2 linked regions of the Arabidopsis thaliana genome follow. Each later gene encodes a partner of the first gene's protein in a complex. Each region holds a gene or a part of one and is shown in the gene's direction. Other genes may lie near its edges.

The links.
Region 2: AUG7 (region 1) and AUG4 share a complex: the UniProt entries of both Arabidopsis thaliana proteins name them as parts of the augmin complex.

Annotation. Positions count from the first base shown.
Region 1 is NC_003076.8:5,804,979-5,810,618, reverse strand, and holds AUG7 (nuclear matrix protein), read left to right. Parts: upstream 1-1,999; 5' UTR 2,000-2,163; coding exon 2,164-2,297; intron 2,298-2,479; coding exon 2,480-2,565; intron 2,566-2,662; coding exon 2,663-2,724; intron 2,725-2,859; coding exon 2,860-2,951; intron 2,952-3,106; coding exon 3,107-3,232; intron 3,233-3,516; coding exon 3,517-3,607; intron 3,608-3,949; coding exon 3,950-4,057; intron 4,058-4,292; coding exon 4,293-4,391; intron 4,392-4,493; coding exon 4,494-4,685; 3' UTR 4,686-4,911; downstream 4,912-5,640. Other genes in the region: AT5G17630 (Nucleotide/sugar transporter family protein), read right to left, coding at 1-1,144; AT5G17610 (uncharacterized protein), read right to left, coding at 5,574-5,619. UniProt on the Arabidopsis thaliana protein: Contributes to the assembly of the acentrosomal spindle and phragmoplast microtubule arrays as part of the augmin complex. Regulates the association of gamma-tubulin with the spindle and phragmoplast microtubules.
Region 2 is NC_003070.9:18,783,900-18,789,946, reverse strand, and holds AUG4 (HAUS augmin-like complex subunit), read left to right. Parts: upstream 1-2,144; 5' UTR 2,145-2,331; coding exon 2,332-2,466; intron 2,467-2,547; coding exon 2,548-2,595; intron 2,596-2,742; coding exon 2,743-2,868; intron 2,869-2,956; coding exon 2,957-3,289; intron 3,290-3,447; coding exon 3,448-3,544; intron 3,545-3,694; coding exon 3,695-3,740; intron 3,741-4,080; coding exon 4,081-4,174; intron 4,175-4,370; coding exon 4,371-4,442; intron 4,443-4,517; coding exon 4,518-4,576; intron 4,577-4,659; coding exon 4,660-4,728; intron 4,729-4,823; coding exon 4,824-4,875; intron 4,876-4,984; coding exon 4,985-5,062; intron 5,063-5,165; coding exon 5,166-5,228; 3' UTR 5,229-5,438; downstream 5,439-6,047. Other genes in the region: AT1G50720 (Stigma-specific Stig1 family protein), read left to right, coding at 303-767; CPK33 (calcium-dependent protein kinase 33), read right to left, coding at 5,562-5,636, 5,722-5,821, 5,917-6,047. UniProt on the Arabidopsis thaliana protein: Involved in microtubules reorganization during spindle and phragmoplast development.

The DNA of each region.
Region 1 (5,640 bases):
TAACAGGATTCCTAAACACCAAAACAGTGGAGATAATCACCACGACTCGCTTCATCGTGTTCCCAACAGAGAAAGTCAATGGACTGATCTCGTCGAGTGCCTGGTAAGAAGACTGGTTGTACAGATGATAGAAGACACCAGAGAGCAAAACCCAAAAGTAGAACGTTGATGGTGTCCCAACAGATGCAATGGCTTTATGGTAACCTGGAACCCAATGTGATCCTTCAACGAAAATCGCCACGGGAAACAGATAAAGCAGAGAGAGTATACTGATGCAACCGTATAGATTCAATCCATCAATCTCTTTAAAGCTCTGTAAGCTACGTTTAGAGTAAATGTTTCTCAAGACAAAACCAACGTTACTAATCATAGCTCCTGATAATCCACCTAAATTGAATGACACTTCAGTGACTGCAGCTAAAGAACAACCCATAACAATCGGAAGAATCGATAACCAGACAGCTAACGGATACGAATCACCGAGTAAAGACGAGAAGATAACAGAGAAGACAGGCTCTGCTGATTTGATAACATGAGTGAACGAAACAGCGACTTTGGAGAATGAGACACAAGCTGAGATATGTCCAATAGTGTGGAACAATGCAGGACCAAGGAGAGCAATGATAAAAGGCTTGGAGATTTTAGGGCAGGGGTAAAGCTTAAAGGACCATAAGACAAGCATCCAAATAGAACCTGCGAAGAGCTGAAACGAAGCGAGAAGCCATGGATAAGGAAAGACATTGAGTGCCTTTTTGTTGAAGATGTTGAAGACGATGTTCTGGAAATACCAAAGACCAAACACAATCCCTAGCTGAAGAGTCTTAGCCTTCTTCTCTTTCTTCTCCGCTTCACCAAGATCGGATTTTTCGTCTGGATTTGAATCCGATGAGCCAACGGCGGCGATGGATCTGGGTTTTCTCGAGAACCCAGATGAGGATTCAGGGTTTGTGAGTGAAAGCAAGGGTTTTGCGGAAACATCACGAATCTGGAGATTGGGAATCGGTGAAAGCCCTAGTGGGTGTCTGTGATTGAAGGGTTTAGGGTTGGTGACGAGAAGAGCAGAGAGACGGGTCGGTTGTTGACAGGTCCGGGTCTTGTGGAGGAGACCCGGATTGAGGGAAGGAGATAGATTCAGGGAGATCATTGTTTAAGCACGAACGCAGGTAGAGAAGGAGAGAGAGAAGAGGAAAAAGAGATAGCTCTTGGTTTCGGTTGTGGGTCGTCGTCGGCTCTGGACCAAACGTCAGAGATCCGTTGGGAAGTACAACAATTTTTTGAAAGCTCTGTTCTTGGACTTTGCTCCTTCTTCGAATATAGTACTCTTTTTATAATTATTCCAATTATTTTGTTTAGTTATATAATTGGTAAAATGTCCCATCCTATTTGAAAAGCATTGTGGAAAATGTCTCGAGATTCAAAAAAATGGGACTCACATTTGAAAGTTTTGGAATTTTTAATTTGTAAATTTTATAATTTTAAATGTTAGATTAACAAAAAACTTCACGATAAAACTATTTCGTTCTGATTGTTAACAATAACAAAATCGGAACCGATGCCATCATTTGTCTTTTATCATTATTTTTTCATATCGTATATTATTTTGTTATTGCTTATGATTTTTTTATTGTTTATCCAAATATTTTGGTTTTGAATGAATGTGGTGGGTAAAACGGATTAAACCATTTTCTTTTATAGCGAACAATAATCTATCGAGATCCAATTTCTTTCAATGTAAAAGTAGTCTTAAAATTGGTCCGCACCGGTTTTGTCCATTCTAACCGCCGCAATCATTCGAATATTTTACCTTTTTACATCACCCAGATCAATTAGGTCTATTGATGTTAAGTTACTAATGTTTTTTCCTTTCGGTTTTGTTTTCACTTTTTACACGCAGGAGATGAGAAAAAGGCCAATATGGTAAAATTAGTTTTTTAAAGTTTTGAGAGAAAACTTTAGGTCCATTGATGTTAAATTACTTAAGTTTGTTTTTTCTTTTTCATTTTGGGTTTTGTTTTCACTGTTTACACGCTGGAGATGAGAAAATGGGCCAATGTGGTAAATTAGGCTTTTAAAAAGTTTTTGAGAGAAGAAGACGAGACTAGTGTCAGATCTCGAGATTTGAATCGGTGTTGAAGCCGTCGCCAGAATCAGTTGGATAGGAAAATGGCGGCGAAGCAAATGGAAGAGATACAGAAGAAGCTACGGCTGCTAAGTTACCCTAGGGCAAATGCTCCAGCTCAGTCTCTCCTCTTCGCCGGGATGGAACGTTATGCTCTTCTCGAATGGCTCTTTTTCAAGTAACTCTTTCTTCCTCTCCTTCTTTTATAGCTTATTCGATTCTCTTCTACCAGAAAAATGCTGGGAATTCTCTGAATTTTGAATATCAATGTGAACTCTCAACATTTTGAATTTCTCGAGCTCTGATCACAAAATTCGATGGGGTTTACTTATTGTTTCTTCTCTGGCTCTGTCTTTGAAGGTTATTAGGTGATAAATCACCTTTCTCACAGCAAAATCTCCAAGGAGATGCTGGAGTTCGTGATGAAGAAACTGTTCGTATTCAATGTAAGTGTTTCTTTGATCGTGTTGGCCTTTGAACATTGCCTAGCTATTATCTTAGACTATATTAGTTTTTGATGTGTAAGTGACTTCTCGGTTTCAGATTTGGCAGAGATTGCAAAGTTTTTGGGGATTACACCAACTGTAGACATTGAAGCCATTCAAGTAAGTTTGTTTCAAGTAGCCTTACTGGATTTATGCATTTACCTGTATTTGCTCAAGTTCCATAATTTGTCAAAGTGCAAGCATGGGTTCCACTTTTCAATTTTCTTTTGTTTTGCAAATCTTTCAAACTTTTAGGGACATGGAACCTATGAAGATCGGATGGAAATGCTTCGCAATATTGTTGATTTAGTGGAGGCGAGCCTCTTCTCAGATAATCAAGAATGGAGGTAGACATGTCACTTGTATCTGATATCTTCCACCAGTTTTTATCATTAGTGTGGCATTTTTGTAGTCTTTCATCTTCCTTATTCCCGTCGACTTTATTATGTGTTTTGTTCTTTGAGCATAAGACTGCATAACAATGATTTTGCTTATTCTTCAGTATTGATGAGCAAGTTGCCAAAGATATTCAGCTCATAGATGCTATTGCAGAGAGACAGTCTCTTATATTTTCTGAGGAATGCAAACTGTTCCCTGCTGATGTGCAGATCCAGTCGATATATCCATTGTAAGAACCATTTTCTCCTGTTATCTCCAAGTTATTGCACCTTTTCTCACTATTTAGTCATTGTGGGTAATGGACTTTTTCATATGAATTGTAAATGTGAACTTAGTTTTCCAAATTAAAACTTTGCTACTATGAGTCACTAGGGTTAGCAATGTGTTTTTCCGTTTAAAATCAAGCTTTAAGTTATACTACTATTGTACTTGCAAATCTTAGTCCTTAAATTGTTGCTTCATGTTTCAGCAGATGTAGTGACATTATGTTCCTTAATGGAAGTTTATTTGCAGACCAGATGTTTCAGAACTGGAGACAAAACTTTCAGAACAGGCCAAGATTCTCTCTAATCTTCAACAGAAAGTCGATGACTTGGCAGCAAAGGTGTGCTTTTGTTTCCCCATAAAGAGTTATGTTTTGACTCTTAACTACAGAACTCATTTACTGTTTCATCAGACTTAATATATTTCACTCAGCTTATTACTTATCGCACGTTTACATGTAAACTGCATATACCAATTGCTTAACATATAGCTCTTGTTTCTCTTTATAAGTAGTCTCTGATTCTGATGTAGCCAAGACTTGAACTTCATAATGTAACTAATATGTATATATGCATACTCAATTCCTACTACTTAATGACTTGTTGATAGAAGGAAACAGTCATATACATAATTCCTACTACTTATTGACGTTGATAGAAATATGTCTGTTTTCTCCTTTCAGCATGCTTACAACCCAGATGAAGAATATACTGAAGTGGAATCTCAACTAAGGGCTCGTTTAGAATCGTTTCTTGAAACAGCTAGGGCATTCAATACAATCTACACAAAGGTATTTCTTTTTCATACTAACTCATAATTCTCTCTCCCTATCAACCTAGATTAGCTAGAAGTAAAATGCATAAGTTCAGCTTTTTTCTTGTAGACATGAAATCTGCTATTTGTCTCTGTCATGCTGCTTCCATGTCGCAAAAAATGCCTCTGAATATCTTATGATCTGACTATCTTTTCCAGAAACTGAAAAATAAGCCGTTGTATCTTTATCACTATGTTTGGACTTTTTTCAGGAAATTCGTCCATGGACGCATATGATGGAAGTGCCTCAGCTTCATGGTTTTGGTCCTGCTGCAAACCGTTTACTAGAAGCATATAATATGCTTTTAAAGGTGCCCCATTGTCTCCTTCTATCTGTATACTTGGTTGTATCGACTATATTGAGTCCATATAATTTATACTTTGATTCTGATACACAAATCGTTTGGCAACAGTTCCTAGGGAACTTGAAGAACCTAAGAGACTCACATGCAGCACTTTCGATTGGATCCTCGGGGACAGTTGCTGGAGAGCCATCCTCTGTAACCAGAATCGTATCCGACTGTGAAGCTGCATTAACTGTTCTCAATCGAGATCTTGGAATCCTCTCGGCTTCTATTGCTCGTGAGCAAGGTGAGCGTCTTTAACTGTCTTGAGTTGACCACACTTGATAAAGGGTTCAACTCCATGAATGTGATGAGTTGTATTCGTTAGAAATCATTTTAGGGTGGATGTTTTGATCTCAAGAATTGTAACTCTTTTCAGCACTTTTTTGCTTCTGTCAATTAACCAAATCAAATCTAAAGGTAAAATTTCTCATCGACCAAATATTTCACTAATGCTACACATTTAGGACAAAAACAATAAAATGCAAACATATTCAACTAACTGCCCGTGTGAATCGTCTCAAGCTCTTGATGATAATATTGGCGCATACTGCACCGAGAAGTTAAAGAGCTTAAACTTGAGTTTCACCTATTAAAATGATGTTTTAAGATTAACAGAGACGAAACTTTGACTAGTCTAGCTATGATTTGGCTCTACAGCTACAAAAGACTCCCAGCAAACAGAGTTTTCAAAGCAAGTCCTCTTTGGAATAAGCATCGGAACAGTGACTTGAACACACAAGATATAGAAACCATTCCAAGTATGAATGATTCAAATTTGTTATCAAGATCCAGATTTATGTGGCTCCCCCATATCGTGTAATTATGCTGCGTGCATGTATATATAGGTCAAATTGTATTGGGAAGACTCCAACAATAATATGGACTCCTATTCATGACAAGAGAACTGGGACCAATCTGTGCGTATTAAGACTGATTTGTACAATGGTTTCAAGATTCAGTGGATTTGCCAATCATAAACGTAAACGTTTCATATAAACAACCATTAACCCAAAAATTGAGGTTTATAATAAAAGAAGCCTTACATGGCTTCAAACGCGACAGAGCAGAATACTACTGATCAGAAATTCAAGAGCTTAGCTCAGATTTTGGCAAATGTCTTCACTGAGAAAGTCTTATTTGATACCATCAAAAGATGCCTCGAACACCCTCTAAGCTTTCCCCGAGTGATGACCTGAAAAGAATAGATAGATAT
Region 2 (6,047 bases), on another chromosome or scaffold:
CCGAAAAAATACACAAACTTACGTTACCGGACAAAATAGTTCTTTTGAATATAAACTTGAACTTTCAAAATTCTTGGAAAACTAATTACAAATTTTTTGGACTTTGTGATAAAAATATTCAACATTAATGAAGAATTATTTAAACGTACTTTACTCAATTTCCATCACATGCATAGCTACTACAGAATAATACGACTCGTCAAACTTTATATAAACTCTATTTCCCTCGTCCTTAACAATACATTTCACGATCCCAAATCTCTCTTTCTCTCAACTTCTCTTTTTAACAAACGAAAAAAGACATGGGGCATAGAAATACCGTATTGACAATACTTCTAACCATTTCTATAGCCATAATGGTACTCATTGCTACAGTATTTGTTAGCAACAACAAAACAGAAACGTTGTTACAAACGCATACGCAGACGCAAACGCTAATTACAACGGGAAGGGTGAGCCGTTTCTTAGCGCAAAACGCAAAGAACGGTCGTAATCTTAACGCAGCGGATCATTGCAATAAAGAAGAGGAGATATGCAAGAGTCAAGGAATGTACAACTCAACCATGGCGTGTTGTAGCAACAAGTGTGTTGATCTGGCGTACGATAACGATAACTGTGGCGCATGTAAGAACCAATGCAAGTTCACGCAGACTTGTTGTAGAGGAGAGTGCGTTTACTTAGCTTATGATAAGAGGCATTGTGGGGAGTGCAACCATAGTTGTTTGGTTGGTGAGTTTTGTGTCTATGGGTTGTGTAATTACGCATGATATGTGATTAGTTAGTTTTTATATGTTAAACTTTGGTATTTTATTAGTGTTTTGTTTATTTCGATTTATAAATTTTAATCGATAATTTGATACGACTAGATTGGTTTTCTTTGTGATATGAGTTTGAATGTTTGATATTGCAAAAAGGTTCAAGAAATGGAGAACCATATAATAGATATTATTCCATATAACATCTATTATTCCATGGACCAATAATCTGGCAGTGCATGGCTTCATAAGCCTTTACTAACATATAAATCTCACAATTTATGAACCATATAATAGATATTATTCCATTTTACATATTAAAATATTCTATATGACAAAAAAGATAGTGATTTTCAAACATAAACTTTGTCTAGAGATGAAATATTATTTGAAAAAAAAAGAGAAGCTTAGAGATGACGCCTAAAGTTTGAAAACAAATGAAGAGAATATGCAAGAAAAAAAAACAAAGAAAAAAATCAAATTTATGAACCGTATAACATCTATTATTCCATTTTCTATATTATATGTGATGATATTTTGTTATTTAAGTGAATAATTGAAGAATTAATTATTAAATTATTTGATATTATAGATGTTTCAAGTAATTTATTTTGTTGATAGGAATGTGAATAACATTAAAGAAATGAAGAGTTGAGATTTAACAAAAGTTGAACCTAGCTATGAGAACTTTGCCAAAAAAAACAAAGTTTCAAAAAAAAGATTTTGAGTGTCAATCAACAAATTAACGAATCCAGAGAATCATCAAGGGGCAACGACTACATCTTCTTGCATTTTACTCATGGGATATTGTCCTTGAATCCTTCGGCTGGTGAACTTGACTGGAAAGAGGCTAAACACATTTTAAAAAGTCGGAAAATTCAGACGTTACACGATGATAAAGAGTACATGATATTTGGTCTAAGTAAAGATCACTACAATGAACAAATGTATGTCTCTTATGTTTATATACTTTTTATGTTCATTATTATAAGATATATTTCTTTGCTTTATTTAGGTTTATTCGAAAGTTTACAAACAAAAAACTAAGAATCGGTGAAGGTTAAGACTACGGTATATAAATATTTCACCAAAGTGTTGGGAATTAAGCTGAAATATTTAGGTGACTTTCCTTGTCTAAGGGATGTCGGCTCTGATCACCCGATTTACTTACCGATTGAGGTGATTTAAAAGATTTTCATATTAACTTACCACATTTTCATGCACACATTATGAACATCGTTGATAGCTTTTGTTACTACGTATCATGTAATTGATTTCGTTACTTAGTATAGGAGATTTATCTGAAGTTGACTGGCCCAAGGTAAAAAGTTAACTTATGCTTATTTGAGTCTTAAGTTAACTTTTTCTCGTCAGGCTGAACTTGTTCGGGTAACTTTTTTTTAAAAGATTTTGTTTTAACGATTTTCCCAAAATCTAAAAGAAGATAAATTATTAAGGGAGAGAATTGGCAATGGAGCGCCTGAGAATAAGTTTTTGAATCAACAGTCGCGGCAAAAGGTAGATCGAAGCAGATCTCTCGCTGGAAAACGTCACATTGAGGTATCTATCGCCGCCAATGGTGAAGGCACTGCAAGGCGCGGCTCAGAATCTACCGGCGGATGTCAACCAATTGATCGATCAGTTAGAGCGTCACTGTTTGGCTCCCGATGGATCTCTTGTTACCAAATCTGTCTACTCCGATCTCCAACTCGTAATCTCTCTTTCAGATTTTGTGTCCACAATCCCCTAATTCTCTTTAAGAGCCTCAAATGTTATTGTATCGACATTGCAGGCGAGAGAGGAGATGTCTCGGGAGAGACTTCGGTATTTGGAAGCTATGGTAACACTTTTATCTCTTCTTCCATTTTTGGGGTTTATTTTAATTTCAGGATTTTCTTCATTCACTTATTGAAGTTGAAGCTGATTAGTTCAAATTAGGGTTTGATTCAATCTAAGGACTCACATTATTAGTTTTTACAATTGTTAGGCTATTTATTGTGAAGCTGTAGCTATGGTTGAAGAATATCAGCAAGCTATTTCAGTAGCTAACCATGGGGGAATTCGTGATGTTCAAGGTCTATACCCTCAACTTGGCTTGAAGAATTCTCCTCAGGTTTCTAATCTCAAAAACGTGATTTTTTTTCTGGAATTATTTGTTATCTCGAGACTCATTTATGAGCATAATTGTTGATTTTTTTTAGGTTTATGAGACTCTAGAGCATAGGTTGGTGGTTGCTGAGGCGGCTCAGAAACTGAGGCTACCTCTTATTTCAGATGGTGGTGAAATTCATGAGGAAGAGATTGAAAAGTGGAGTATACTTTCAAGAAGCTCTCTTGATAGTGCAAGCACGAGTTTTACGATTAGCTCCACTTCTAACTCCGTGAACTATGCGAATAGCTCTGCAAATAGTGTTGCTGGTGGGATTAGTCTTAGTGCTGTTGATACTGACGTAGTAGGTGGTGTTCCGAATCGATTTCTTGGAATAACACCTGCTTACTTATCCTATGTTCAGCTTCAAAATACTATTTCCATGGTAATGTGAGATCATACTGTGCCTACTTTTGGTGTCTTCATAACTATGTTGTTCCTTCATCTGCTGATTGCGAAATATTTTTGCACCAATTCTTATGAAAGATTGGGTTATGGATATCTTTGAGTATCTAATTTTTTCTTTTAAATAACTTTGCTTAGGACATGGCTGACTACCAAATGTTTCTTGCCCGTGAGATAGAAGGTCGATTGAAGGAAAAATGTGATAAGTTGGCTGATGCCATTGTTGATGACACTGGTAAGATCTTCATTACTAGCAGACAGAGAAAGAGGTCTTTCGCTCCTTACCCAAATTCATTTGTTCCTGTCCAATGTGATACTTGGACTTTATGTTAAGTTGTGTGCCAATCCTGACTGTATTTTTCTTATACTCTTCATTAAATGACAGATTCGTCCACAGGAAATCGAAATTCAAGTGCTAGGCTCCCAGAAAGGTTAGCTTTATCACTATGGTTTAACTATGCCTAAAGACATCTAAAAGAAAAACTTAATAGCGTTATGGTTTTAGTGAAGACGGATGGCAACTGGCCTTTCTAGGGATATATATATCTACATAATGTGATATACATGTAAACATATGGTAGCGAAATGCAACTGAAAGCCTCTTTTAGATGATGGGATCATAGCCATAGAGAAAAAGTTATGTTCGTGATAGTATTCTGTTTCTCTGTAAAGTTTATTAAAAGTCTAGAAGGAACAAATGATTTTCTCACACTTAGCCATCCTCTTAAGCTCTCTAGTACCGATGAGTGACCGTGTTTTCTTGCATTTCAGGGTTAAGTTTATAATTGAGGAGATTGAAAGAGATGAAGCAGCTCTACGAGAGGACCTGTACTCGGCTGACAGGAAGTTTGCTGAATATTACAATGTAGGTGAAAAGAATATTCATATTGTATTATGCAAACCGAAAATCTAATTACTGGGCTGTTGCATGATATTTTACTAAATTTTTTTTTTTTATAGATAAATTTCTACATGTATATGAAAGCTACTACTTGTCAATTATCCATGTATCCCCTAGTTGTAGTAAGTTCTGATGACTGTTCGTTTTTATTCTGAACAAGGTCCTGGAACAAATACTCGGGGTACTTATAAAGCTTGTGAAGGATCTAAAGTTAGAACATCAACACAAATATGTAAGGGTTTCAGTGTTTTCCAATTGATTTAAATGCTGCCTGTTCATATATAGCTTACTCTATATATTGTCACAGAATGAGATGCAGAAGACTTGGTTGTGTAAAAGGTGTGAGACCATGAATGCAAAATTAAGGTATAATCTCATCCTTTACTGTTTAGGATCTAAATTTCAGGCTATTGCAGTAGTTAAGATATCTTATCTTTCTCTGCTTGAAGGGTTTTGGAAAATGTTCTCCTCCTTGAGACATACACCCCTGACTCCATATCAGCTCTGCACAACATCAGGTGCGGGAATCTATTTTCCAGACATGTTTCTTTCCATGTATTTGATAAATCCATGACCCCGTCTCTCACCTCCAAGCATTATTGTATTTTTTTAGGAATTATCTAGTCGAGGCTACCGAGGAAGCTTCAGCTGCATACAACAAAGCGGTTTGTGTCTTTATCCTCTCTTACATTGCTTAGCACTAAACCCTTTTGTTCAGTCTTCATTGGCATTTTACTCCCGATTAATTAACCGAGCCTGCGAAATGACACACAGGTTACTCGGCTTAGAGAATATCAAGGAGTAGATCCGCATTTTGATACAATTGCCAGACAGTACCATGACATTGTTAAGGTACAAGCAAGTCATTACTTAAGTCATTTCACCTTCTAAATTTGATTTGACTTGTGGGAATACAACAACACGAATTATAATGAGAGCTTTCATGGTTTTGCAGAAACTGGAAAATATGCAGTGGACCATTCATCAAGTAGAAATGGACCTTAAGTCTCATGACTGATCACTAGATTTGTTAACACTTGTGATATATGTATTAGCAAATCTAATCCTCCAAGAAAGATTGAACTGGGAGAAAAAATCAGTATAATTTAAATATACATCTAGCTATGTGGTCCACTACTTGTAATCTACTTACATTGTGTTATCTTCCTCTGTTATATACTTTTATTGGTCCTTCAAACCAAATGAGATGACCAGTTTAGCAGTACCAAAATAAATGAAAGCAATCATCTCTCTCTCTCTCTTTTCAACCTTAAATTTTTGCCTAAACAACAATAATAATACCACTCTTGTCTTTTTTGATTAGATTCAGACAGAAGACAAATAAAATATGTTAGAACAATCTTGGTTGTTGTGGATTCCCACTTCTCATCATAGCACAAAACTCGTCATAGTTGATTCTACCGTCCTGTAACAAGAAACAAAATTTGAGGTCAGAGAAAGAAAACGAAAAACGTTACAAGGGCGAAGAGCTTTAATCTTTTGGCTTTTACATTATCAGCGTCGACATCAGACAAAATCTCTTTGATAGTAGCATCATCTCCCATTCCATATTCCTTCAAAGCAGCCTCTAGCTCGTCTGTCGTAATGTATCTATTAAACACATTTTCAGTAATAGTCTCATCAATCATTGCTAACAAATCTATTTACATTGCAAAATGATTCATACCAAAAGAAAGATCACTTACCCACTCCCATCTTTGTCAAAATGTTGGAAGGCTTTGTAAACGTTCTCATTACTTTCAAGCCTATGTCTATGCATTGTTGCAGTAATAAACTCAATGTAATCTATTGACCCATTTCCATCAACGTCAGCCTG